4 linked regions of the Styela clava genome follow. The protein of the gene in region 1 purifies or fractionates together with the protein of each later gene. This does not show direct contact. Links are inferred from orthologs where the notes say so. Each region holds a gene or a part of one and is shown in the gene's direction. Other genes may lie near its edges.

The links.
Region 2: the proteins of uncharacterized protein LOC120337459 (region 1) and uncharacterized protein LOC120325942 purify together in Homo sapiens (affinity purification with mass spectrometry; 3 studies listed by BioGRID and IntAct, with this or other methods). This does not show direct contact. The link is inferred for Styela clava from reciprocal best matches to the Homo sapiens genes USP36 and GNL2.
Region 3: the proteins of uncharacterized protein LOC120337459 (region 1) and microprocessor complex subunit DGCR8-like purify together in Homo sapiens (affinity purification with western blotting; 3 studies listed by BioGRID, with this or other methods). This does not show direct contact. The link is inferred for Styela clava from reciprocal best matches to the Homo sapiens genes USP36 and DGCR8.
Region 4: the proteins of uncharacterized protein LOC120337459 (region 1) and ATP-dependent RNA helicase DHX33-like purify together in Homo sapiens (affinity purification with mass spectrometry; 5 studies listed by BioGRID and IntAct, counting the BioPlex papers as one, with this or other methods). This does not show direct contact. The link is inferred for Styela clava from reciprocal best matches to the Homo sapiens genes USP36 and DHX33.

Annotation. Positions count from the first base shown.
Region 1 is NC_135259.1:3,939,876-3,946,728, reverse strand, and holds the start of uncharacterized protein LOC120337459, read left to right. Parts: upstream 1-3,835; 5' UTR 3,836-4,017; coding exon 4,018-4,174; intron 4,175-4,616; coding exon 4,617-4,727; intron 4,728-5,462; coding exon 5,463-5,557; intron 5,558-6,103; coding exon 6,104-6,251; intron 6,252-6,679; coding exon 6,680-6,793; intron 6,794-6,853. UniProt on the Homo sapiens protein: Deubiquitinase essential for the regulation of nucleolar structure and function. Required for cell and organism viability.
Region 2 is NC_135253.1:12,000,894-12,008,836, reverse strand, and holds the start of uncharacterized protein LOC120325942, read left to right. Parts: upstream 1-4,938; 5' UTR 4,939-5,116; intron 5,117-5,691; exon of another isoform or gene 5,692-5,715; 5' UTR 5,716-5,767; coding exon 5,768-5,831; intron 5,832-6,190; coding exon 6,191-6,284; intron 6,285-6,418; coding exon 6,419-6,513; intron 6,514-7,000; coding exon 7,001-7,134; intron 7,135-7,492; coding exon 7,493-7,606; intron 7,607-7,685; coding exon 7,686-7,823; intron 7,824-7,943. Other genes in the region: TATA element modulatory factor-like, read left to right, coding at 1-1,150; 2-oxoglutarate and iron-dependent oxygenase domain-containing protein 2-like, read right to left, coding at 2,076-2,339, 2,419-2,676, 2,926-3,150, 3,268-3,432, 3,720-3,869. UniProt on the Homo sapiens protein: GTPase that associates with pre-60S ribosomal subunits in the nucleolus and is required for their nuclear export and maturation.
Region 3 is NC_135250.1:22,757,747-22,764,639, forward strand, and holds the start of microprocessor complex subunit DGCR8-like, read left to right. Parts: upstream 1-3,866; 5' UTR 3,867-4,238; coding exon 4,239-4,419; intron 4,420-5,083; coding exon 5,084-6,753; 3' UTR 6,754-6,893.
Region 4 is NC_135262.1:5,471,310-5,478,838, forward strand, and holds the start of ATP-dependent RNA helicase DHX33-like, read left to right. Parts: upstream 1-4,512; 5' UTR 4,513-4,667; coding exon 4,668-4,987; intron 4,988-5,725; coding exon 5,726-5,829; intron 5,830-5,958; coding exon 5,959-6,112; intron 6,113-6,743; coding exon 6,744-6,912; intron 6,913-7,416; coding exon 7,417-7,529. Other genes in the region: programmed cell death protein 4-like, read right to left, coding at 2,262-3,647. UniProt on the Homo sapiens protein: Implicated in nucleolar organization, ribosome biogenesis, protein synthesis and cytoplasmic dsRNA sensing. Stimulates RNA polymerase I transcription of the 47S precursor rRNA.

The DNA of each region.
Region 1 (6,853 bases):
AAAGTTGGCGAACAATATTTCTCCATATCAATGTACACACTTCTAGAGCGCCCTTTAGATCTATTTATTTATAGCTCGGGTACTTTGGCTCGGCGGTGTGGCGCATCGTGCTAAGCGTTAAGAATCCGCTCGCCACCGCATCTCTGATGACCCTTTTTGGGTTCGCAGGTTAGAATCCCATGCGTGGATGATCATGTGCGAGAGGATTGCTGGACTCCTCGCCGCCGTAGGGTGGTTCACATAACCGCTGGTCGGTTACGGCTTCCTCCACCATCAAGTCCATGCTTCCGAAAACAAATAACTGGCTAACTAATCCCATACCCGACCTGGACTGGTAACCGGACGAGAGGCCGTGGTTTGCCATATGATTAAGCCGTATTATCGGCTTTCCTCTTCCCCGGGATAAATATGTAAATCCTATCCAATCCCAGCCTATTACGGAACCAGGCCACGCAATGATATTGAGATCGCCACGCAAAATATTTAAGGCGATAAAATACGGGCAAATACAGGTGAATGGGGAAGCGATTCCGATAAGCCATCTTGGCTAATGTTCTGTGGTCGTTTTTGTTCGCTTTTGACTGATATATTGGCTATATTATTAACCATGACTCAAGCAAATTTCTAAAACTGCCAAAATTAGCACCGTATGTTGGGCTGGGATATATAAGCGTTTGATATATAATGGGAAACAAGTCAAGATCAGGAGAATATGCGAAAAAAATTCACGCAAATAATTTATTTTGTGTCAAATCTCATAAGAAATGCATTACGCGCCTGGGCAAAGGAAGCATATCGTCAAAACGAGAGAGCCTTTAAATGATCCCGCGGAAAGGAGAGAGAAGCCGTGGTATTAATATGTTAAGTAATATCCGGATCTGGTTAATCCCACCTCCGTCCACCTTGAATGCTTCGACGACAAATTAACGTGAGCTCGACAGTCTCGTGGTTGTTGAGCTGCTGGTGATGTACGGCTGTACGGTAACGGTATGGTACCGGCAGACAGATGAGTTAATAGTTTACTTTTGCCTTAGGTTTGTAGGTTGTTATAGCCGAAGGCAGTACAATCCGCGGGTCTGGTATAGTTTAGTACCACATGTAAAGTTACTTCTAGTTGACCTGGCTCAACAATTTTCGCATATGTCAATCCTAACCCCCACCTGACTACGTCACCGAAAAATTACGTCATTTCGACGTCACAGTGGCGTAATAAGGCCCACCGAAGTATGCGGATGGTCGTCCAAAACGCGCAGACGATCACCCGAAATCGAGCAAGCAATTTCTCTCGTTTTCTCGTCACAACGATCACGATCGCCGGCTTTAGCAAGTTTGTTATCGGCGGCGCAGATGACATTTCTGGCGATCGTAGTTATACTTTGGCAATCCCTATGACGTGATGGTGACGTCGTAGTGACGTAATTTTTGGATGGCATAGTCAGGTGGGGGTTAGGAATAGCATATGCAAAATACTGAAATATACCGGAAGTACTTGTGGTACTAAACTATACTAGACCCCAATCCGCAATTTGACGAAAGCAGTACCGGTACCGATAATTCATGCAACCTGCTTGCTAGCATGGCATTTTGGGTCTAGTATAGTTTAGTACCACAAGTACTTCCAGTTGGCGTAGCACGGTGGTTCTCAACCTGTGGTACGCGTACCACTAGTGGTACACGAAAGATGATCAAGTGGTACGCGGGCAGCCTTGAACTATTGCAACAATTAACTTTTGAGTTGGCCAAAATATGCCTGACAACGCTTTATCTTCCATACTGTATGTATTCGCTGAATGGCCTTCATGAATGTTTCCCTGTGCATCAATTTCCTTGTTTATTTCCGTAACCAGCAACAATCAGTAAACATTGCCTCGTTTTTATAGTTTTGCGTGTTATTTGTCAGTTTTCAGTTGCATTTCAAAAAAAATAGTTGTGAATTAAATATCTTAATTGGTATTATGTCTTCAAAGGAGCATTAATTTTGTTGCTTTAATCAAAAATGAGTCTCGCAAATGCTGCGATAGACTAATCTAAACTAAGCTATCAGTGCCTGTAAGCGGCACATGGTTGAATAATTTTAATAAAAATGAAGGTTTTCAAAATTTTTTGCAATAGTAAAGTATAGGAAGAATTTTTCTGGGGTCAAGGGTCAGAGAAACGTCTTACAGTCTTATGGACCAGTCCAGCCTTTAGAGATCGCCCTCGCCTGCTATTGCCCACGAACGAATCGAGATGGGCATGTTTTCGTCCGTCTTGCGAATTAGGTCACTAAGGATGTAGTGCCACGTTATAAAATACTCCCATAGCATGTGTCTTGTGCCATTGTTCCCTACGCCAAAAAGGGGCTATTTCAGTGGTACGCGGCCAGAGTACAGGAGTAAAAAACAGTAAAGTGGTACGCGGTCAGTAAAAGGTTGAGAACCACTGGCGTAGCATAACGAGTTTTCCATATGTTATTCCTAACCCCCACCTGACTATGCCATCCAAAAATTACGCAACTACGACGTCACTATCACGTCATAGGGCTTGTCAAATTATAATTACAATCGCCCGTAATGGCATCTTCGCCGTTGATAACGAACTCGCCCAAGCCGGCAATCTCTCTCCTATCGTGATCGTTGTGACGTAAAAACGAGAGAAATCGCTTGCATCGAATTCGGGTGATCGTCTGCCCGCTTTGGACGACCATCCGCATACTTTGGTGGGCCTTATTACGCCACTGTTACGTCGAAATGACGTAATTTTTCTGTGATGTAGTCAGGAGGGGGAGGATTGACATATGCAAAAATTGTTGAGCCAGGCAAACTAGAAGTGCATGTGGTACTAAACTATACCAGACCCGGCATTTTTAATATTGTTACCGGTACCCCTAAATCGAATTATCAAAAGCGTACGCCCACCAGAAGTATGTTAGGTACCGGTACTACACGAGGTAAACTACACGAGACCTTGGTACCGTCGTAGTACCGTACCTCCTAATATTTCTAACCTAATCTAGTCTGCTAGTCCAGTAGTTTGATTATGAAGTTAGACACCTGCTGACCTGAATAATGATCGACCGATTATTCCAGAAGTGCGGAATCATGTTTATTTGTTTATGTTTGTTGTGACTTGTTTTCTTACTCCTTCAGTCCTTCGGTAGGTGAACGCGTTTTATATGTTATAAACTTGTTTTTAGGTTTTGTCCACTTTCCTGATTCTTGGCCTTTTCTTTTTTGTATATTGTTTATTTTTTGAAAATGAATCATAATAAAATCTATCTATCTAGTCGTTCTTGTTGTACAATTTGACTATTTTTGCCCTGATAGAACCCATCTTACTGCAGTACTGTCTTACCCTAGAAATATGGAAATACTGAAATACAGCACTGCATCATGTTGCAGGTACAGATATAATATAAAAGCAGAAAAACATCTAGTGGAAATACAGAAATAGTTCTGAATGTAGCACTTATAGTCTTCGAAGTTTCATGTGACGGCCCACGCACGTCGCGATTGATTTGATGCATTATCAAAACAAGCATGGCATGATCTGTCACCAGAAGCCCTTATTTCAGTGTGTTTGTTTTATTAAACCTAATGTCGGGACATCTTGAAATTGGAGAATTGTATCCTATTGTAGAGTAATTAGGCTAATTGGTCAGATAATTTTTTGGTCACCATAATTTGTGAGAAATGAATGATTTTTAATTGTCTGCAGGTCTAGTAACCTCGTTATGATGACCTAAGTTGTAGACCAATTGAATTTAATTATAAGACGTTTCAGGGACAAATAGTTTTTTTATCTAAATATTCTGAATATTACGACATCTTGGAATTGAAGTAACTATTTTACTAATAACTGATTTTATCAGTTTTTAGGTTTGCAGATAGGGTATTGTTCTGTACTAGAACGATTATATTGCATGTAGATAACCAAATATTGTCAGTCAACACTGGACAAAGGTCTTCTTCATTTTCTGCTCATTAATTAATCAAATATGTTGTCAATATTGATGAGTAATGGGAATTCTTTTGCATTATGACGATATCGCAACAAATCATTCAGTCATTGAGATCGGATTCTCATATTTCCACTGGCAATTGTGGAGAAGAGAATGAGGAAGGCGTTTTTGATCTTGATGAACATCTTCGAGCCGCGTCGAAGAAAGTTTTGCTGCAAAGAATAAATTTTGTAGGTTAGTCTGAAAGTTCATTAATACAAATGAAAATTGAAATACGGTAGTTATAAAATTTGCTATAGCCATATTTATATACAGGGTGATCCTAAAAAACAGAACTTAAAATTGTTTAATTATACGAAAAATGAAGAATATTTTTCAACCACTTAAGCTTCTCTTTGTGTATGATTATACCCAATTTCAGTATTCCCAATGACCTGTTTTTATCACTTTGTGTTAATTTAATAATGTATCTGTTCTACTGTATTTGTAAAATTTGAAATATACAATTCTGGAATGTTCCAATGTAAAATTTGTATTTTTTTGCAAATCTAATATATTGTAAATTTATTAATCGACAATGAATTGGTTTGTGAAGAAAATTCTGGACTTCCACGTCATCATCATCAACCATTACTAAAACATATTCCTTTATATTTATTTATTTTAATTCTTACAGAAGCGAAGCAGCCATATCACATAAACTTGAAGAAATTGAAATCAAAATACGTTATCCTAAATCCAAGTCAAAAAAGTGAAGCAACTAAGAATTCAATCACCATGTCTCCAGGTAGTATTAATTGAAGACTAGATCGAATTGAATTTGGATTTTCCATTTCCAAATCCTAAACTGTTATTCATTTAGTTTTCATCGACTGATTGTTAGATTACACGATTTTCTGTACCAAAGTACAATTATTATTTAACCAACTGTGCATCGAAAATGATTTCAAGTGAGAAGGTTAAATTTTTTCAAATTTACCAAATTGGTTTAGAGGCATACATACTTGGATCGAGAACAAAATAATCAGTGCCCATTCTCCGCAGGACTGTGTCTGTTTAGTGTTTATATTTATAAGAACTACATGAAAGGAAATCAGCGCATTTTTTGCATTCCCAGCAATTTACAGTAGCTCTGAAATAATATTTAACATCTAGCACGAATTATATTGTTAGACTCGTGTCATTAATGATAATATCGTTCAGTTTAAGTTATTAATTTATCAAGTGCGATCGGAGGTATGCGTGTATAAGGTGAAGTTTTAGTGCGATCAGAGTTATGCGCATATAATCCGACCCTCTTAGTTTGGCAACCTTTTTTTTTGAACTTTAAACTCTGCTTATGTTCGAGGAGTTTTAATGAGATTAATTGAGCATTTTGTGTACCTATAGCTTTTTAATTATTTTGCTAAATTGTTTGTTATTTTTATGACGAAAATGGCCAATCACTCTGAAATTTCTAGCAGAGTACGAGTTTGTTATCTTTGTTTTTTTCTATGCTCACGTTAGTATTTTTCTGTTTTAGCACTTAAAGTTAATGCCCCAAGCACTACTGAAACATCTGGAACAGGACATGATGGGATACCATCACCTAAACATACAATATTTTCAGCTGACAAGGTGTCTTTTGTTTCTTTTTTTAAATCTTTCTTTAATTTGACTTATAATTTCTAGACTAAAAATCTATTTGTTGATAGTTTTTCTCCAAATTTTGTGCCATATTACGATACTTAGCTATCTATGATATTTTGTCATAAGGAAGGAATTGGGTATATGCGTTTACCTAGTATGATATGGTTTTGCTAGTATTCATATTTTTAAGTTTTCGAATATGTAGAATCAATTTGCTTGCTATTTGGTTGATTACTAAGTCTTTTCCAAAGTCACATTTCCCATTCCATGATCAAGGAAGATAATTATTTAATGGGAGTCAAATTTAACAATGACAAATTGAGTCGTTATCGCTAGTACTAGTGCATTATCCTAAGTGCTTTTGTTTTATGTACAATACCATAGCCATAGTATTATTCACTTTGTCATGGTGGATATCAATAATGCATAAGAGAACTCTATATTAGTTCACACCTTTACCAAGAATGTGCCAGAGAAAAGTTATAATTATCATCAATTTTAAAGAAAAAAAATCTAATTTTTTGTAACAAACAGGTTGAATTGTCTTGGAAGAAAGCTATGCGTGCCGGATCTGGACTTTGTAATTTAGGAAACACCTGCTTTTTGAATTCGGCATTGCAATGTCTCGCATACACTGCACCTCTTGCTAATTATTTAATACATTTGGATCATCGAAAACATTGTAAGACTTTTTTTTTATTCAGATTCAAATAATCCTATAATATTGTTTCAAAACTATTTATTTTTTTATAATAGGTTTGTCTTTTTGTGGAAACAGACGGATTTTAATTGTGAAAATCAATTTTTTTTCACATTATGCACCAAGTAACCATCCTCATTAAGATAGATTGCCTCTGGGCAACAGACTATCCAAGTTTTTTTGGACTAACTAGATCCCCTACCTCAACCTCTAATTTGTGTCAAATTACTGTTTGACTAAAATTATTGTTTACAAGTAAAATCATGATAAACTTCAATAATTTTGCTGTACAAATTTCAAATCAGAAGTGATAGCAGAGCAAAATTACATATAAAAATGGTGCCTAATTTCTGGCGTAAATATACTAGGTACATAAGTAATATTGTACAATGTACATCCATCATTTTCAGGTCAGGTCAATGGACAATTTTGTATGTTATGTGCCATGCAACAGCATCTACTCAGCATACATTCCAACTCAGGACAGCCTATAAAACCAATGTATATTCTGAAGAATTTGAGAAGTGAGTATCCTAGATGTAGCATTTGTTTGCAATGTGCAGATAGTCTCAGAAACTCCGTCC
Region 2 (7,943 bases), on another chromosome or scaffold:
ATTATTATTGCTTCAAATAATGGAATTGAATAACACTGTGTCAAGGTCTGAAGCAGCGGCATCCAGAAAAGATGACGATCACAGGAGAGAAATAAGAGAATTACAACAGAGGATACAAGAATCTGAGGGACGCAATCAAGACTTGAGTGATAATGTTTCAAATACTACAAGGCCCCTCCTGAGGCAAATTGAAAACCTTCAGGCCACTCATTCATCGCAACAACGTTCATGGAATGCGCTTGAGAAAACATTGAACAATAGATTAGGGGAAGCACAAGCTGAGTTATTAACTGCCCGGGAAAATGAAAGAATTGCACAGAATGGTGCCATTGAAGCAAAATCAAAAGCATCTGCCTATGAAAAACAAGTTGAAAGTGCTCAGAACACTATATCTCAGCAACTTAAGGAAATAGATATATTGAAAAATAAAGTTGATGAATACAAAACTCAAACATCTCTGGTTTCTGAGGAATTGGAAGAATTGAGAATTTTACAAAAAGAAACTGTACACAAATCTAGAAAAGAACGTCTTTTCTTAGAAAATCAACTACAAATGGAAAAGGTACGATTGGAAGCGGAACGAAAAAAATTTGCATCACAGCATGAAGCACTTCAAAAAGAGAAAGAGAGAATGATGTGGAGTAGATCTGAGATAACTTCTGTTTCCAGCAATCAGCTTGTTGAAACCGAGTCAGTTGGAAGCTCAAATGATGCATTCCATTCTACTGAAACATTTGACAAGCATATGAGCTCTAATTCTCTCCCTACATTAGCTAGTCAATTGTCATTAGACTCTGGAAAGCCCATGTCCTCGTCAAATGTTTTAGAAAATCTTCAGACGATGATCAAGCTTCGTGATGGTGAAATAGCTCAGCTACGAGGTGACATTAACATGCTTGAAAGAACTAGATCATCAATGGCTGAAGAAATAGTTCGATTAACAAATTTAAATGAAGATTTGGAAGGTGTTTCCAAGGAGCTCCAAACCATGAAAGATAAACTTGCTGATGTTGAAGGACGTTATTCTGCAATCTTAACCATGTATGGAGAAAAGGAAGAAGAGAATGAAGAGTTGAGGATGGACCTAGCGGACGTAAAGGCAATGTATCGGCAACAAATTAATGATCTTTTAAAAGTGGATCCATCATGACCAAAAGTTTATTATACATAATCCTGTGATTACTGCATATTTCGAGTGGATAAAATCCGTCATTCAAGTTTTGTTTGAAGCTGGCATTGATAACCTTGACAAGTCTTTGTATACAAGCTGAAAACACTGATGCAAGTTTTCAAATAGAACACTATAGATTTATAATGCTTTTGTTAGAGACAAAACTATAGCTAATTGTTTAGAGAAATATCAATGCAATTTTTTATAGAAGCCGATAAGATTGCCAAATGCTTGTTAGGTAATTTGTTGTTCACTGAAGCATTTTGTATCAGTTGGTCCAATTATTATTCGCATTGGTATCCATATGGTGATTGCTTATATATTTATTCATCGGTGGCATTGTTTTATATTTTTATTATTATAATTAATGCTTTATTCTTCCAATGTCAGTGTAAACAGGCTAGCACTTCGAAAGCGAGCTTTTTTTCCAGCCCAGTCCGCAATACGACTATACCACAAGTGCAATGCATTGATTTGATTTTGCACCTGTGGCACGGTTCAGTGGTATCTGCAACGAATCGACGATTGCATACTTTTATCCGCAATTGGTGTGCTTGTGTGTGCAATAACTGATAATCATCCACAGACTAGATAGAATTGACGGGCTGCTAGAATCATAAAATAATATTCTCAGTAGACTCTCTTCGCAGATAATAATGAAACCCTTTTATGCTTTCTATTATAAATGAATATATTTATTGCAATTAATTATTTAAAAATACTTAGCAAAAGCAATTGAAGGAAACTGTAGCAATGACACGATTTAAGTAGGCTGTGGGCCTCAAGCTAAACCTTTTTCTAAAATACATTTGAAAAATACCTTTTCTAATTTGGAACATTCTTAAATTTGATTAGCCACGCAGCTTTTCACATTGTAGTATTTGATTAAGTGTGGCACGAGTCGCTAATGTAAACTGCATACTTGCACTGTTAGTGTGTCATGTCTTGTAAATCCATCACCAAAGCCAATAGCAGGTGCGAGTGTGGGTTTGTTATCACACATAGGGCAAAGCTGGTTTCTAATTGATGAAGATCTCATCCATATAATCAAGTTGGTTCTTTCGCCATATGAAATGGGCATGGCACCATGTTTGTGTTGTCCTCTGTGTAACACTCCTTCACCAACTTTGTGTTTGACTTCCACAGTCTTGTCAGACCTATTGCATTCCTGTTGAACAAAAAAACTAATAATCCCTCTTTTGGCAGAATACGAAAGAATGGGCAACTATTATTATTCAAACCCATACCTGCCTCATTGAACCAAAATATAGGCTTCCATCATCAAAATCTTTTCCAAGGCACACATTCAAGGTTACCTCTGCATTATCATAATGATATCCCAAGTCTAAATCTTGATCTTCTTTATAATTGACTGTAAACGCTTTATGAGAATCTAGTTTTTCATCCACCCAATCCGGGAATAGAATCTTCGCAATAGGGTCAAGGTAACATTCACGCAGCGGTGTAATAAAATCCTCATTGAATCCTAATTCATCAAGTAGAATCTGAAAAGCGGGAGATTTAGGCTTGTTATAAATTAATAACAACTACAAGAAATCTGATACCAATGGTACTTGAAAATTTCCACAAACTACTAAAAATTTTGCCAATTCATTGCCTCCATATCGAAAGCGTTTTCCTAGTAGATGGTGGTGATTTTGGCCAATGCAGATACGGAAAAACTGTCGGTAAGCATGCGCGTTGTTTTTTGCGCATGTGGCACCTTGCACACTGTTGGCATTTCTAATACTCACTCCACCATTATTCATTGTGTTTGGACGACCTTTTGGCATATTGCTACTTTCAAAATTGTTAAGTTCTTCTGCTAAGTTTTTGCAAAATGTCTTCTTAAAAACTGGCAATCGATATACGCCTTCTACTTTTTCTTTCTTCAATTTTTTCGACAAGCTTGCAAATGTGGCATTTCCTTCTTTAGCATGCTTGACAATGGCCAGAAATTCTTCTTTCAAATATTCTTCCTAAATTAAGAAGATTTGATACTCAATATGTACTTGATGCAATTGTATTTTTTTTATTCCTGTTTTTGGACATTTTATTGCAATAATATATCATCTGATGCATATATAACATCATACCTTCAAGACATTCACTTTGTGCAAAGGTGCATAACAAGCCTTGATTTTACTCTTCCGTTGTACTGATTGTGCATCTATATTTTTTCTTCTTGTACTCTCTTTTTCAAGTACAAAAAGCAGTTTATTCTTCTTTTCTGGGGTGGAACACCCTATTTCCTCTAAGAGCTATAAAAAAAGAGGCTGATGGTATAAATAAAATCAAAGTTCAATTGATAGTATTATACAAGATTACATATAAACAAAACTGAAATTTAGAAATCATGGAGTGGACAAAACCTTGGGTATGTTTTAAAATAGAAGCATAAACAGAGATTCTTCGCTCACTTACCAAATATAAAGGTATGTATATACAAAACAGGAATGAAATTGGGTCAATATTGAAGTATTATCTAAAGTTCTTGCCCCAAACCAGCAAACAATATAATATTTGGACACCTGACAAATATACTCACTTTAGAATTTTGCTGAATAAATTCTTGACCGTTATCTTCAAACTCAAAATGTTTCCCATATTCAGCAGAGTAGAAATTTCTGGTAAAATAACATCTGCAGCGGAAGAAAACACTAGGCTCTGAGCCAACGCTCATGGTGAATTGTGCCATTACCCGGTTAGTTCAGTAGGTTGCACCGAAATTGTAACAGTGTCATTTTTTCTTTTGTTAGTTTGTTTAGAGTATTTTGAATTAAATGCAGCATACCGAGATATATATATATATATACCATTGAGGAGTTAAGTCTTGAATGAGTCTTGTTTAGCCATGTATGTAACAAACCGGACACACCATGTCCGATTTTAAATTGACTCCTGCGTTATTGCAGCTACCAAACGGCATGTTCCTGCGTTCATCTCTGGGTTATGTAACCATTGATTGATGACTGTCAATGATGTAATTGTAACTTATACCTCCAGAGTGGTGTTCATCATCTCTCACCAGGCATCCGGCTGCTGGGATTGATATCATGAATCGTATCAAAATAATAGATACCGGTAGGCTAACCTGGAGAAAGTTAAAAAAAAGTGGTTTGGGTACGACCGTGCGGTGCCTGTACCGGTAATGGATGAATGTGTTCGTATGACTGTATGAATATATATGCAGTTTTTGGTGATTTTTTGTTTGTTTTATAGTGGTACGGTACCGGTATTGGGTTCTGTCTGGCTGTGTAGTTTCGTTCCTACAGACCTAAAGTCTGAAAGTAGCCTACTTCTAGTGGTGGTAGCATAACATTCTTTGCATATATCAATCCCAACCCCCACCTGACTGTGTCATATATGGCTTAGTCATGGTGGGGTTGTATGTATGTATGTTTATTCGTCTCGTAAAAGCAATATAAAAGAGTAAGTAATTATAAATACTGAAGACGGGATGTATGCACAAGACCATATTGGCCTAAAACACAGATCTGCGGCATACACCCCTTTTGATATATATAAATTATAATAGGGTAAATCAAATATGTACAATATGGTCCTTTATACAGGCAGTTGTGCAAGGAGGGTGGGTGGATGTCAGGATGTGGTAACAGGGATAAGGGTGGAGTGTACAAAACTGTTTGTACAAAGGAGTTTGTTAGACAAAACAACATCTATAAATAAAGACACAACACAACATGAAATACACTGGCATATGAATATAGTAATAAAAAATTTTTTTTTAAAAAATTAAGAATTTGGATGAATGTACAACACCATTGAGTGATGATACCACATACTATAAAACGCGGGAATAGTTAAGTTTAAAGGGTGTGTACATATATGGTATGCACCACTCAAGGGCGATAGTGTTATAAGTGGTCTATGGCTGTTCTGGCCAAAATGTGACCCTACAGGTTTTGGTGAAATATGATAAAGGTATGTATCAGGTATGTATATGATAAAGGTATGAGATTGATCGTTACTAGAAATACTTGAGGTACGAAACTACACAGGATTTCACGCTTTGGCGCTTTTTTTAACCTGCACTTGAATTTTTTGAAATGGTTCGAAGTTGTATGTAAGTTGAATTGTCCCAACCTCACAGTTGAGATATTTTGAAAATATTCAATGTTTTCCGTTTTTTGGTATTTTTTCATGTAGTTATTGTTTTACATTCAACTCTTGTACAACTGTACAATGAAAATAAATATCTGAATCCAGCCCTATTTTGCATCTAAAATTGAACCATACCGGTCCTATTAGATGACTGTATATTAAATATAGAGACCTAAATCCACTTGGACATGTATATCTAATATTTGTATAGCCTTTATCATTGTGATAGTGTACGTGTTATTTCAATATGATTGTATATATATAGCCCTCGACATTTTTATTTAATCTAGATGTAATTTTTATACACTTAATACAGTAATAGCGATACAAGTTTTATTGGCATTTCTGTACCAGAAATTTCCATTTCCAATAAATCCTATTAATTATAATCATGTATTCAGTATAAAGTATTATTCTAGGACAACAGGACAATAATACTTTACTAATAGTTTTGATTTGTAACAACAAAAAATGGCCAAAACTAAGAAAAGGAATGAAGGAAGGATAAGGAAATCTGCATCTGGAGATAATCCAGGTATGTACATCAATGTGCAAAACTCTTAGGAATAGCATGTTTCTATCAATAGTACGCCATTTCTGAACTGAAACTAAGCTATCTAATATTTTAATATACAGTATTCGTATGTTCAATTGGCAATCCAATTTATACTGGTTCGAGAATGCAAAATACGCAATTACTACTTTATTATTTGGGTATATGGATCCTATAGCACAAATAATTATTATCATGTAATTCCTCTTGTTTTCGAATTATCCAGATTTTGGGATTAATTTACCATATTATGTCCATTTCACCCTAGATTCAAATTTAAGTACAGTGGATATATACAATTGTGAATAAATATATTTTTGTGCCTTCTTAAAAATATACAGACCGAGCTAAAGAAGTTGGCAAAGGAGGTCAAAATATGAGAACAAAGGCAACAATAAAGAGACTTAATATGTACAGAGGTGGAAAGGCTGTGAGGTAAAGTCTGATTTTGATTAATTAATGTCTATAATGGTTACCACTAATTTGAAACTATGTTTTTATTTCTTCTTATTGCACATTTAATTTAACTCATTTGTAGCTCGTCTCATTTATAACATCAATCTTTCTAGAAATCGTAAAGGAAAAATTGTGAAACCTCCTGAATTTCAAGGAGAGCTTCCATCTGGTACACAAGCACGAGTGGAACCAAACCGAAGATGGTTTGGTGAGTTTGAATAAGTTTATACTTCATTTTAAACTGTCTTATTTCACTGAGACATGAAGAACACATATTTTACTCAATAAATAGAATTTTAATCTGGCAATTGTTAATAATTTTATGATAAAATTAGTTTGTCTAATTTATGAACTTTTTTTTTGTGGAGGTGTGACATAATTGCCCTTAAAACAAACAGTCATTATTTATGACAACCACTATATTTTTTGAAGAAAGGAACAGTTGCGTATATTTCTGGTCTCTCACAGTTTGTTAAATTTTATATAATATTTATATGTTTATGGAAATATGGTTTGGAACAGGTTTATAACATATTAATCAGTATTAGTAAGGCCTCGGCTCGCGACACTGTCCAGAATTAGGCTGTTGAAACATTGGGCCAGGTCAGCCCTTATTCATAAATTCTTTGGGAAGTTTTGGAATTAAGATTATTACTTAATTGTATGGGCTATAAGAGTTTTGTATTCTATTGCAGGTAACACAAGGGTCATCGCTCAAAAAAATCTTCAGAGATTTCAGAAAGAAATTGGAAATGTTATGAAGGATCCATATCAACTTGTGTTAAGAACTGGGAAATTACCAATGTCATTATTACATGACAGAGCCAAGGTAATAATTTATTTTGTGTGTGATTTTGAAAATTGAACAAAAAATGAATAACTTTTTTAAGGAGAAATCACAAAAATTTTAGGTGTACGAGTATTTTGTTCAGCATTTTATTGCTTCAAATCACCTTAATCCATATATACTGGGGCCGATAGTGACATCATACTTCCAAGTTCCATATAGTTTTAGTTGCATCTGGTATTACTTTTCTTCACTTCAGAAGAAGCCGGTTGGACCTTTCTTGGGCACATTAGTAATGAATATCTGAAATTTTAATTATGCCAAACGAAACTTACACTATTAAGCCAGTAACAAACTGAAAAGTCACTGTACCTAACAAATTCAATTTTTTCTTATACAGAATGCTCGGGTACATATTCTTGACACTGAAAGTTTTGGGTCAACATTTGGGAAGAAATCAACTAGGAAACGTCCTAGTTTAAAATTTACAGATTTAGAATCGTTGTCTGCTGAGGTGAGATTATTTTTAGGTAGAATTATCGAACATGTTCTAATCATCTAGTATTTTTTTGAATTACATCTTTTTCTTCCAGGTTGAAAAATCGTCAGATCTCTATAAAGAAGAAAAAGATTTGGATTTAGTACGAGAGGATGACGGGACAAAAAATGTTGTTCTTGGTGCGTACTTCACTGCTGGGCAGTCTAAGCGCATTTGGAATGAACTGTACAAGGTATGATTATATTCAGAACAAGAACAGGAGTATGAACCACAGTGTGCTACTGAAGGAATGTTGAATGATGTTTGGTATCATTTAGCTATTCTAGCTAGATAGCATGATGTTAAGATTTTG
Region 3 (6,893 bases), on another chromosome or scaffold:
TTCGTTCTTTATATTTTAATCATAGTTATCGTGTATTATTATTTTTTGCTTTGATTGGCACATGCTTCTTTACGCTATTTGATATCTCTATCATTATTATTATTACGATTGAAAACTGTTACAACTTAAAAGTTACTATCAAATGACAGAAATGTGGATGTTTTTTTATTACTCTGAGGTCTTCGATGAATAAATTCAGGATTTCTTGTGACAGGCCTCTATGTTCCACCACCAGTTATTTGATAATAATTTTTTGGTTGAATATAATTCTTATTATTTGATTTTTCTTAATTGTGGCTGTTTTCTCCTTTCTCTCTTTGCGCTGTATGCGAGCAATATAAAGTACTTCTCACTGAATTTATATTAGTCATTTTGTTAACAGGGTTCTTGGGTGGAAATGTGATTTCAAGAAAATAACACCGTGGTATTTATGTAGCAACAAAGTACTTGGAAGTTGCAATATCGGAGTCATGCCTTGGCTTACACCATAGATTCGAAATCTACGAAGTTTTTATTGGCATCGGTTAGTCCCCCGCGAAAAATCTATGACGAGAGAAATACTGGTGACATCAACTCTCAAATTGTCAAAGAAAGTTAGAGATAATTAGTATATATGTTGTGTATTTAGTCTTATTATTTTCACCGATGATTTGGATTATTTATCACTTTGGGGTGTGGTTCCCAGGCTGTGCGTAGCGAAATATCAATCTTTAAAAAATTATCATTTACCCGCCTCGAAAAGTTTACATGAAATGATCAAATCCGTTGAAAACGTACGACTGGAAATCTGACCGCGTTATGATAGTTTATGTGCGCATACAACATTAAGTATCGCATTTATTGAATATATATATTATTAGGCTTTTCACTGTCGTAGGGATTATTATGACAAAATTATGCGCTTCAGAAGTGTGTGTACCAATGTGGAGGTAACTAATTTTGTTCGCCTACTTTACATCAAGTTGTGTAAATGTAAAGGGACTGAAACCTATGGGCAGTGGGTATGTTCACTTGGCTAACACAGACAGTCCCCGAACTCGTCATGTAACTAAAATAAGGAAAATCGGAAATAAATTGTGGCCTAACCCTAACTTGGTACACACACAACGGGAGTACCTATTATTAAGCTTTTCACCGTCGTAATTCAGTATTATAAAAAATTCGAATAACCAATGGAATAATTTTGTATGTCAAGTCGCCTAGCCTTGTGCGACAAAGTCCCCGGGTGCACCTTCAAGTACTACACTAGATAAAGTTATAGGGTATCCTCAGGGAACACCTTTCTTCGAATTCGTTACATAAGATGCACTAACTCTAAAAGGTCAGTTTGGTAAGAAATGGTTGTTTATTTCTTGGTTTCCTCACAGGCAATATATGATTCCCAACAGATTTAAAAACCTACACAATGCTGAATGCAGCATTTACTGACAGTACTTTCCCCGACAAAGATGAGTCAAATCATAGTCAGAAAGTTCTCCCTATCAAACATGGTCAAGTTACAATCGTACTTGGGCCAGTAAGCAAAATTTATTTACCATACTAAACTGTGTGAAAAAATTATTTCCCTACTGGACAGTTATTAATATAAAGGTACACACTGAATTCCCTTCCTTGCTTACGATTTTTATTGTGGCCCAGTACGATGTGCTTTTCATTTGATGATTTCCACATGTCTGCTATGTGCTTTAATCAGTAAATCATTTTACATACCGGGAATTTTCACTATTACGGTAGTAACTCAAAACTTTTAAGGTGTTTACTACAAATTGGCTGTTGTTGACGTCTTAATGGGCCAATAGAAAATAACGCATTCGAATCCTCTTACACTCATTGTCTAGTTTGGATAGGGAGCAAACATGTAGTCACTTGCACAAACAACTCAATGAACCTACAATGTTACTCGTGTTAGCGAAATGATTGTTGACTGTTGGTCCATTTCGTTTCCATCAACTTATTTGTTTTCATACTTTCTGAATAATCACTGACGAATTCCACTGTGTAGTGAAACGCATTGATTTGAACGCACCGAAAGCAGCAACCTCATGAACCCATATAAATAAATTGCCGGCGTCAAACTTATTTAACTATGATTTGTGGTAAGTGATGAATACAACTGAAGTTGATCATTTTCCCAGGAGACATAGAAACGTCAATCTTTTAATCATAGTGAACTCAGCAGTAACTGCCTCCAAGTTCAATTGTGTGATTTCAAAAAAATATCTTTATAGTGCTGGTATAGTTATTTATCATATTTAAATATTCAGTAGTCGAAGATTGAAAAGTTTTCTGAAATTCCTCTATATTCAATTGCTTTCAAAAGTGATCTTACACACTTGGCTGAAAAATCGTCACCACGTCGGTTTTCCGCCGGTTGATTTTGGCCAGAAAGCCAGTCTGCTTCAAAGCTTACTATCGCCATCTCGAGTCAGCATTATTTGTTGCATCCGTAAATATTCGTGTACGAACTTCATCTTGAATGATGGCCTACCGTACATTCACCATGTACACGCCAGTAGGGTTGGATTTCGTCTCTCTATCATTATTGTTATCATTTTTTCGTGGTATAAACTTTAACGTTAAATCTAGCTAATCGTACGGCATATATTCCATCATTTTGTTTGTTAGGATAATATTTACATATTTATCCCGGTTCCTTATTTCCAAGCCGCACCACCCGTTCCAGGCACTACCTCAGAGAACACTTCAGTATCAAACTCAGTAATTATTAGGCTACTATGATGATTGAAATGGCTAATTTTGAGATCTCGTGTGAAATAATCTTGTTTGACCTTTTTGATGAATTAATCCGACTCACTAGATTGGCATATCCCCCTGATGAAAGCCAGACAAATCCAGAGATATGCAATTTTTTCTGAATCTTGAATTATTTAGATGGATACAATCAGTTAACACTAGAGTTAGGCACGTTTCCATACGACCATATCTCATTCTCATCGTATAAATACACATGTCTTGTTGAATATTTGTCAACTTTATATTGGTACCATTTCAATGTGTTCATATCTCTGTCTACCAATTTTGGCCCAGCTTGCACGATCCAACACCAAACAGCTATACGCGTCATTGTAGTCACTTTTCGGATATTATGCTTCTCAATCTGATCACCAAAGACAACTTTGTCACAATCACCATAACGGCTATTATCATTTCCAAATATCCTCACGAGGGGACTGCAATATAATTGCGTTGGGATTCAGATTGATCAATTTTACTTAGTGGGGGTACTACACACACGCTGTATAAAATGAAGGCTATCAACTTAAATACGGATAATTTCGTCCAATCAAAGTGAAAATATTTGGATGAAATTGGAAACGATTTATTCTCCGCTCTCCAGTCTGTTTGTACATGTGTAGTACCATATTTACGGTAGTACACGTTTCTCAGGCCAGCATTCCGTTATAGTTTGCTTTTGTACGTATATATTTTAAACACTCCTCGCAGGCTTCATCGGGTTTAGCATCGAGAGGCCATATGTTTAGGCGCTTTTATCGGCTCCCCCCCCCTCTCCCGGGATAAATATGTAAATTTTATTATATAGTTATTACAGGAGAAAAGAAGAGCATAATAATATGCCGATGTAAAGCCAGCTCTCCAAACCCCATATATCGAACGTAGGTGGGGACGGGCATTTCATTTCCTCGCTTTTTCATGGTTCATCTGTAGGTAGGTATAAGATTGGCGAGTGATGACGAAACATGCTTTCGGATGGCTGCGACCTGGTTTATAGGATATTGCATTGGTTAGGTTACATATGCGTGACTTAGTGGATTGGCACGCATTACAATTGATAACGCGATGAAATATGCTTTCGGAAATTGTATCGTACACTCAGAGTCAGTATGTGTGAATGTGAGTCATCTAACTCTTATCAACGGGCTAGTGCTATTTTCATTCCAACTTCGACTGACTAACTTGCGGTGCAATATTCTGATATTATAATAATAGTGTTACTGTGATAGAATAATGCTGTAATAGCAGAATAACCATGGCAGTTTTAAACTTGTCTGCCTGTCCCTTAGTCTGTTAGTTGTCGCTTTTTGGTGTAATTATTACGGTACGGTATACCATGCTATTGGATAAAGCAACATGCTGACGATGCAGTTCATTATGCCTTTCCAAGTGGCATAATTGCACTGCATCTGAAAACATGCTGCTGTCAGTCTTCAATATTTTTATATAAAATTTAACCCCAGTTCTTGAGAATTTTAAGTGAAATGTCTGATGTAATACAAAATGACAATGGACCCGAGGTGAAAAATGGGTCAGGTTTGGAAGAAGAAGTTGAAATTAAAAAAGAATCCGTGCATGATGACGTTGAAATGATGGATGATTCTGATCATGATGACGAGGAATATGAAGATGAAGAACTTCATGAAACTGAGAATAACGTAGCAGGTCAATATTTGAATAATTTAAAAATTATTTAGTGATTTTATATATGATTATAACAATATCTTTTGCTTTTTTATAAAATTGAAGTTTCAGGGTTTTGTGCAATATTATAATGAAAATTAAAATATCAAATAATTTCTGAATTGTGTTGTATTCAACTATAATAATATACTTCCATGTTATGTCGTTTGGCATCATCTACTGCTGTACCAAAATGAACCCCTCTCATCAATCGCAGTTGAACTATTCGATCAATTTATTGACCTATGGTAAATTGTACTACAGTACTATGTTTCTCGAGCACATGAAAACAACTAGAATCTAAATTTATGAAATTCATATTGTTTTTCAACAATGGTACCGGTAATCGAATATTATTACTTCATTTTTAATTACATTTAAACTTCAAATTTATATTAGATCTGTTTATTGAAAAGTTGTTCAGTGCCACTCACAGAGTTAGGATTTAATTGTCTGTTTGTATTGGGGCTTCATGGGCTCCTAAATAGGTTGTTCTATAAAAATTATTTTATGATAATCGTCTGATATATCTCGGTTTTTTCATGATTATTGTGAATCTGCTCAAATGCAATTTAATTTTTGATAAACTACTGAATATGGTTGTCCTGGTAATGTTTTTTGATCTGATTTTTGTATTCGGTTACAGATGGACAATTGCCAAGTAGCAACCTAAACAATAGTGAAGATGCCAACGGAGAAAATCAACCTGAAGGATTGCTGGGTTACAAATACAAAACTGTGCTCAAACATGTTTCCCCGAAGGCATCAACAGAGCCGTTACCCGAGGGATGGGTAGTTCTAACTCATACAACTGGTATCCCGTTATATTTACACAAGAAGACTAAAGTTGTTACATTATCGAGACCGTTCACTTTGCTGCATGGTTTTGTAGGGAAACATAAAATAAGACTTCAAAGTATACCGTGTCTATATTATAAAAAAAATTTAGAAAAATTAAACGAATTGAAAAGTAATGTAGAATCACAGATTCAGAATTCGAACGAAGACACTGAGCAGGAAGATTTGGTAAAAGGAAAGCAGGAGCAGAATGCTAACGGAGATACAGCTTCAGATGACAAAAGTCAACTTGATGGTGTCTCTCAACCTAAAGTTATTCTTCACGATCAAAGCGACATGTGCATTGAAGACAAAGAATTAAAAGAATATTTAGAAAAACGTTTTGTATTTGAAACATTAAAAATACCACGATTTAAAAAGTGGTCACAACGTCGAGACTTTACACGAAATATGCGAAGAAAAAAATTGGAAGAAAATGATGAAAATGATTCTTCAAAAGATGTAGATGCTGATACCGGAAAACCCGGGTCCGGAAAACTTATCACGTTAACAGTTGAGCAAGAGGTAGGCCCTGATGGTACAACCAGAAATCGAAAATTCGTTTTAAATACTAACGGAAAACCAATGGTTTGCATTCTTCATGAATATGCACAAAGAGTTTTGAAAGTGCAGCCCAATTATATTTTCAACACTCGGGAAGATTCTGCCGAACCATTTGAAACAGTGATCAAGCTGAATGGAAAAGTATATGGAACAGCAGTTGCGATTAATAAAAAGACAGCCAAAAATAAAGCCGCTCTTGCTACTCTAGAAATGCTTATACCAGGATTTAAAGGACAAGTAGAAGGCGCTGCTGAAACTCCAGATATGGCATATTTCAATGACGTTTTGATTACCGATTCCAGAGTCTACGAGTTATGTATACATACTGGACAGTTACTTCCATACCAAATGCTTACTGAGTGCTTGAAACGAAACCAAGGCGTCACAGACACAACAGTAAGTTACGACGTACAGCAGGGAAAAAGAAGATCGTTAAATTATACTATGAAATGCGGAATACACGTTGTCAGCGGAGTCGCTAAAAACAAGAAAATTGGAAAACAAATGGCTGCTCAACAAATCTTACAATTACTACACCCTGAAATAAAAACATGGATGGAATTGATTACCTTATACGGAGCTTCACTCGCCCAAGAACGAGCTCGAAGAAAACGAGAGGAACAGGAGATTTTTGATCTCAAACAAAGACGAGGAAATATAGTCGAAGAGAAGCAGGAAGAACCAAGTACGAGTAAACAACAACAGAAAAGCGAAGATTCTCTCGAACCTAACCCAGAATTGCTCGCTAAATTACAAGAAATGATGTTTAAATTAGAATCGGATAGAGGGAAGAGGAAAGCTGATAATGATAATGCATTGACAGCGAAAAAAGCAAAATTGACGCCAATGGAAGCAGCAGTTGCAGCGGGGAAAGGAATGCTTAATATACCAATAGAAATGGATTTGAGTAAATAATTTTGAGTAAAAACAATCATATAACTTTCAAAATGTTGCATTTATGGCTATTTACTTAGTAAATAGATTCATATTAGTTAAACAGAATATTGTACTATGTAGCCTACTTCTTATGCTCAGAAATTTTGTGATGGGGGTTT
Region 4 (7,529 bases), on another chromosome or scaffold:
ATTAGTTAGTTAATTGTTTTCGGAAGCATGGACTTGATGTTGGAGGAAGCCGTAACCGACCGGCTGTTACGTGAAGCACCCTACGGCGGCGAGGAGTCCAGCAATCCTCTCGTACATAACTATCCTCGCATGGGATTCGAACCTGCGAACCCACGCAGAGTATGCGGTGGCTAGCGTATTCCTAACGCCTAGCCGATGAGTCACGCCGCCGCGCCTACTGTCTACTAGTGACTCTAGTTATTTTCAAAATTCCCCAGGCTAATTTTCGGAACAGCACGTTCTACGCTGAAATAGGGAATTCCCGTCCATCTGTTGGTCTTATAACTCTTCAATTAATATAACCCGTACTATATAATTTTTCATAAGTGGTGTCAGTCATACCGTACTCGCCGTCAAAATCCAATTTTTTGAATTAGATATTAGAACTTCGGGTGTCGATAACCAGCTTTGGTTCCCCGCGAATTACTTTCGCCAGAAAAACTGTGTAATTATCATTTTCTTGTAATTTGTGCTGGTGCGATATTTTTTTACTGGTTGGAAAAAATACACTCGATCTTGGCTAGCTATAACCAGTTTGGCATCAACAACATCAAGCTAAAACTGACTTGACAAACCTTGAATTAAACACAGAAAGAAGAGCTCAAAATAAACAGTTTCTTTGCAACCTTTATTTACAAATCCACACCGCATTCCTTCAACGACAGTAAATTCCACACAAAACGCAGGTTTAATATAAACAAAAATGCAAAAAACTAATTAAGGGTTAACCACTAATTCAAATAAAAAATAATCTTCATTACGATCATCAATTACTCGTGGACATAATTTGAATGCAAAATGCTCTTTGATTCTGTGGTGCAGAATACCGAGCAAGGAGTCTCGGACATTTTTTCATAATATCAGAAACATGAAGAATCTTCTTCTTATTCATTATACAATGATGGGCAGCCGATTGAGCAGTTTCGATTCAATTTTGAACCTGACAAGTATGTTGCCTGTTGTCAGACATGAGCACAAGATAAGTGGATTATGGACCAGTAAGATGAAATACATTAGTACTAAATTATTTTAGTCAGGGTACTTAATTCTTGAGAATCTAGAATTCATTTTGTCATAGGAAATGATCAAGTTAAAACATAATCATAATTTTCAGATTATATCATATTTTCTTACATGATCGTGCACCCAAGAAATTTCAAAATATGAAGGAAGAATATGCCATAAACTAGCCATAAGCAACAATAAGATTCTGGCCTAAATCTACAGTGCAGCGGTTTTCTGTGGTTGAGAGGGATTTTTGAAAAGCAAGTTTTACTTTTGACAAAATGAAAAGAAATGATTAAAAAAAATTGGTTTCAAATTATCTGTGAAGTATTCAAATAATATTGTTGTTGCATCTTGAACATTTTTATTCATATTATGCCAGGGATTGACCAGAAGATTCGGAACAGAGAACACCAAACAATGTATGGGTAAATACAACTTAAGAAGTCTTGACTCATATTATCAGTCACTTTTCCAATTTGTTATTTAATAAGTCCTGAGATTTTGCGGAACAATATTTAAACATGATTTCCTGTTAGTAAAGCAATGACTAGAAATACGAAAACGTTTTTATAGTTGTATATCGCTTTGCCGCAAAAAAATGTCAGGATTGGGACACATCGTGTATTCCCAATGAAATTAGGAATTTCATTTGCTTAAAATTGCAAAATCAGAAACGTTTGAAAAATTTATCGTCTTCAGAAAAATTAGATACGCATAGGTTGTGGCCTGAATTATCAATGTGAAACAACAGTAACCATATGTAAATAATTTTCTCAATTTGTCGGGAAAATTTTTTTTTTGCAAAACTTTGTGTATGCTCGAAATTAAAAGGCAAATTAATATAATAAACAATCAACAAAAATACAGGATTTTAGAAGAATCAGATCAAGAATATCATTGAAACATAATGAAAGATTTAAATCATTATCTCTAGCAAATTATTTGTTACAATTTGCAAGCAAACTGCATTTAGATGATAAATTGACATCTTTATTAAACCATAATCATCATCGCTCATAATATGTGAAAGGGTACAGTGCAAAAGACGAAATATTTTTTGATAACTGAGTAAAAATATTGTAAAGAGAATTTTTTTCCACAGTTTGTAGTTTCCTGGAACTTATCGCATAGAACAAGCATTGAGATTTACCGTGCCACCTACAGAAATCAATAAAAACATAAAACCTCAACAAAATCACCGACAAGCATGTTGTCTATGCTAAGTCAAAAAAGCGATCGCCATATTTTCCTCCGCTGAATCTCCCATGATCGCCTTCGCTGACAAACCGCTTACGACTTTTTGTTGGCACAGACATCATCAGTTTTGCATCAATAATTTGGAGATCATGACATTTCTTCACAAAATTTTGCAGCTGTGGATATGCCTTCGGAACATCGATACTCAGGTCTGATATTTCTCCATAGACTCTCTTAAATCCATGCACGAGCTGGTCTGCAGTAACAACGACAGTATCAGCGAGTCTTTTGAAAAGGTGGACCATCATATTTGCAGAGCGTTCATTGCTTAACTCAATCAACATAATGATAGCCTCGTAAACGACCTCGTGATTAAAATGAGGGACATCGAGGTCTGTTATGCAACGTATTGCTTCCTCGGAATCACCAGATGACAAATATTCTTTCAACAACAGATTAATTTTCTTTTTGAGTAAAATCATGGGTTGGTTTCCACCTCCGACTCCCCAAATGTGACTCAAATTATAATGCGGAATACTCAAGAGCAAACGCGCTTCTTTTGCGCAAGACTTTCCGTATTCGTCATCATTCAGAGAAGCAGCTTCAATAATTCGGCTCAAAATTTTCTCTTCGATTATCTTTTCTGAAATTGCACGAGCCAGAAATCTTCCAAGTACTTTTGCTGCATCAGGAGTATCGAGTACCAGCTCAGGTAAACTATCACAAAGATCTAAGAAAGCATGACTCAAATCTTCGGCGTTTGCATAATATATTATCTTGGAAGCATTTTCCCCGCTGTCATTTTTTGATGACAATGGTGCGACTAATCTTTTCAACAACAGAGATGCCAGCTCTCGGAATTCATTCTTCTTCTCCATAGCGAGTGTTATCAACACCACAATCACCATGTATTTGCGATCGGATACATTAAGACCTTCAACCGATTCATGGACTTCATCCTGCTGTCCATGTTCAAAATATTCTTTGATAATTGGTTGTAAAGTCTTTATAATTTCATCTTCACTCCACACTGGTGTGACAGGCTTGTACATAATATCGTTGTCTTGCTCTTCTGAATCATAATTTGGATCTTTATTATCCATAACACCGTCAGTTAATAATTCCTCGCCGGGTCGGCCCCATGTTCCTTTTCCCCCTCCACCACCTTTCTTTGGCAATCCCCTGCCATAAATTGTGCGGGATTTACGATCACCTATTTTTCCTGCACGTTTTACTGCGCCGTTTGACACTCCATTACCATTTCCAGACTCAGAGTGTCTGCTGTTCTGGCTATTTGATGAATCTTTGCGCGTACGTCTCTTTTCTTTAGCTTTTGCCGCTTCAGCGTCCATTTTTACTTCCACTTTGGCATCACCACTGCCTTCTTTTTTATCGGTATCCATTCTTCCCTTTGTACTTTACTTTACAATACCAAATACCGACCAAACAAACACAGCCAAGCTTTTAAAGTTTTAATTTGTCCTGCAAACTTGTTTTCATGAATCGTTCGATAACCTCCGTTCACTTTGCACAGCAGATCAACAACTTTGCAGACACTCGCGCTTTGCGTGCACACTCCGTCGTAAACAATGGTTGAGAATAGAAAATGGGTATGACATGCGGAAATTGTCATTTTCTATGAATTTATATTTCTGTTCATTTTGAAATTACACATAAAAATATCTGTACAAAGCTGTATCTGAGGTTATAATGGTTTTAGACGCAATAAATTATAATTTTAGTGACAAAAAATACAGACGAAAAAATAAATTCAACTATACTGCCACTGGAATGAATATAAATACAAGTATAAAATTGAAAATTAGTTTTGCGTAACTACAAATGTCTTTATTATTATCCCCAATTCAAGAATATTGATCAATCTGGAAATATTGGCTTTTCCAGTTTTTTTTAATGTGCTTTAGGTTCGCATTTGTCTAGGGAGAGCCGTATAAATAAAATTGCAATGATCGTATTTGCTCAAAATTGCAATCACTGAATAAATCTAGGATACAATAATAAAAGAGATAGAAAGTCCGATTTATTATTGTTTATACAATAATAATACAATCCATCCTGTCCATACCACAGCAATTTTATTTCTGTTACATTTTTTTCACTGTATGTATTTTGGTTGATAAAATAATAAATATATCTCTCTATCTCTCTCTACTATACTCCATCTTATAATGGGGTTCAAATAATTTCCCGGATTTCATCAATTCTGTTTTTTTACGATTCGTAAACACACACGTAGCCACCATGGCGTGATGTGATGTCATAATCAAAATACCAAACCACGTGTTCTGTGACGCCATTCATAAGGAAGTATACAGATTTAGTTTCTGTGGTTTGCGTAGTTTAAAGAGACTAGTTTCCATTATGCCAAGTGACTAACAAAGCTAAAATAGATTGACTTAGTAATGGCGGGAATCGCTCTCGAGGTTTCGCCAGCAAACGCTCCCCAACCTTTAAAGAAAAAGCGATTGCTCCAACATCACAAAAATGGAGTTTTGAGTCAAAACGCATTGGCCGCTGTTCGTCGTTCACTCCCCATATTTTCTGCCAGAGACAGACTTATTCAAGAGTTGAAAAAGTCTCCAACAGTGATTGTGATCGGTGAAACTGCTAGTGGAAAAACTACACAAATTCCTCAATTTTTGTTAAAATCTGGCTTGGGCAAAACAGGCTGCATCGCATGTACCCAACCAAGAAGGGTAGCAGCGATTACTATTGCTCAAAGGTATATACATTTGGCTCATGTTATTTCAGTATATTCAATAGAAAATATTGTCATAACTTCAAATGTAAAATGAATAACTATAAAACCACAGATTTATGTTTTGATTTGCAATTGTATTTGTGCAATTTGACATACAATGAAATCATATATTTTAGATTACTCCATTTTCTACAATTTATTCATCTATATAAATCATTTTTGCGCAATATTTTATTTTAAATAACTAGACTAAAATTCTTTTGAGAATTTGGAATTTTATGGTCAAGACTTCTAACCTTGTAAATAGAATATCAATCTCCATTAATTTACAATGCTCTAATCATATTTGTTGTTCAGTATGACCCAATTTTAACATAAACTCTGTATTCTATATTTGAAAAATGTTATTCCAGAATGTATTCAAAACTGTAATTTCTATTTTTAAAATTTGACACAATTCAGGATTCAAATTAAAATAAATATACCAATATTACCACATAAATTGGGCATTCTTGCTGTTAGTACGCTTGCCCCTTACTTACCTCAAAGCGGTTCTGAATCTGTTCGTGTATTTTGGAACCTTAGTGTTTGTTCTCTGGGTTTGGCAAAATACTAATCACTCTACAGTTTGAATCAATTGGTTTTATTTTTTTTATGTGACATAAGTACTGGTTATGTATGGCACAACTTTGAACAGGGTGTCCATAAAGTTTTGAGATATTTTAAAGGAAATTTATTGATTTGTAATTTTATTTTTAGAGTATCAGCTGAATTGAATGTTAAGTTGGGTGAAGAAGTCGGTTACTGCGTCAGATTTGAAGATTGTACAAATGAGAAAACAAGAATAAAATACATGACAGACGGTATATTCATTTTCAATTTTTATCTTCCCTGTTGAAACGTTGACTTTCCTGAAATGGTGCTTGAACTTTTGACTTTAATTTTTAAAATGATTTCCAAAATAAAAAATTTTTCAACTATTGCTTACACAGGAATGTTGCTGAGAGAGTCACTTGGAGACAGTTTGTTGTCAAGGTATTCATCCATTCTGTTAGATGAAGCTCATGAAAGAACTGTTCATACTGATGTGTTGTTTGGAATCGTAAAAGATGCACAGAAGTCTAGAAAAGAGAAAGGTTTGCCAGGGTAGGTTATTTTATGTTTTTACTAATTTTTGAATAATTTATGTCTCAACACTAATAAATTGCAAATATTTGCCAAAAATTCAGATATTTATTGTTTATATTATATTTTTGACCCCTGTTTATTTACAAGGGGGTTTAGTTTAGTTAAATTAATAATTTGTGACTACTGACTATCATTCTTTTATTTATCTTTCAATCAAGTATATTTCTGCATTATTTCTTGTAAATGGAAAAACTCAAATTTTCAAGATTTTGTTTCATTTATTTCATGGGAATGTTTTTATAATGAATTCTACATTTTGCAGCATTCCTGTAGTGTGTGTACCAGGTTAGGATTAGGCCATAATTTTATTCCAATTTTCCTAATTTTAGTTCTATTACGAGTCGGCGACTGTGTTAGCCAAGTGAATATACCATACCCCCTGCCCATAGGTTTCAGTCCCTTTATACAACTTCATGTAAAGTAGGTGAACAAAATTAGTTACCTTCATATCGGTACACACACTCTGGAGCGCCAATATTTTCAGTGAAGTTTGCTGAGCTAACCTCGGATCTTACTGGTAGTATAGCTGAGCCTTGCTTTCCTGCATTTCATTATATTATAGTATTTTATTTTCCTTATGTAAATACAGCCTCCGTATCATAATCATGTCTGCTACCATGGACGTAGATCATTTTTCAAAATATTTCAACAAATCACCTGTACTCTACCTCGAAGGACGGTTACATAAAATCGATATTTTATACACAGAAGAAAAACAATCGGACTACCTCGGAGCAACATTAGTTACTATATTTCAGGTGATAATTTTGCGTCATTGACTATTGGTAGACTCTTTTAAATTGCAAATGATAATTTGATCATTTATCTTTTGAGTGATCAAAGAATTGAAATCGCTGTATAGTCTGCAAAATCTGAACGGCATGTAGAAATCTGTAGAACCGCAAAGTATTCAGACCAATTTCCCTTTATCAATGGCAACATAGTCAGAGTCAGGGCTGTGCAGTTCTTACTGGAGATATACGATAAGTAAAAGCCGAAGTCATTATTACAGACTACTCGATATCTGGAGTTGGAGACCAGGGTCGTACTCGTAGCCAGGAATTTTCACATGGGATGGTTCTGAAATTCCAGTTGCCAAGTTAGATCGCATCATCTTAAAAATATGGTTTTTTAAGAGTCTTCAAGGGTCTAGAAAGCTACGAAAATTTGCAGAAAAGTTTTTTTTTTTTACATTTTAGAACTGTAACATTGGCCTTTCTATGAAATTTGATTAGGATGATTTGTAACATTTCTAATAACAGATCCATCAAGAATCAAATCCTCAAGAAGACATTCTGGTGTTTTTAACTGGACAAGAAGAAATTGAGTCGATGTGTCGAACAATAAAAGATTTATCGATTTCCCTTCCTTCAAA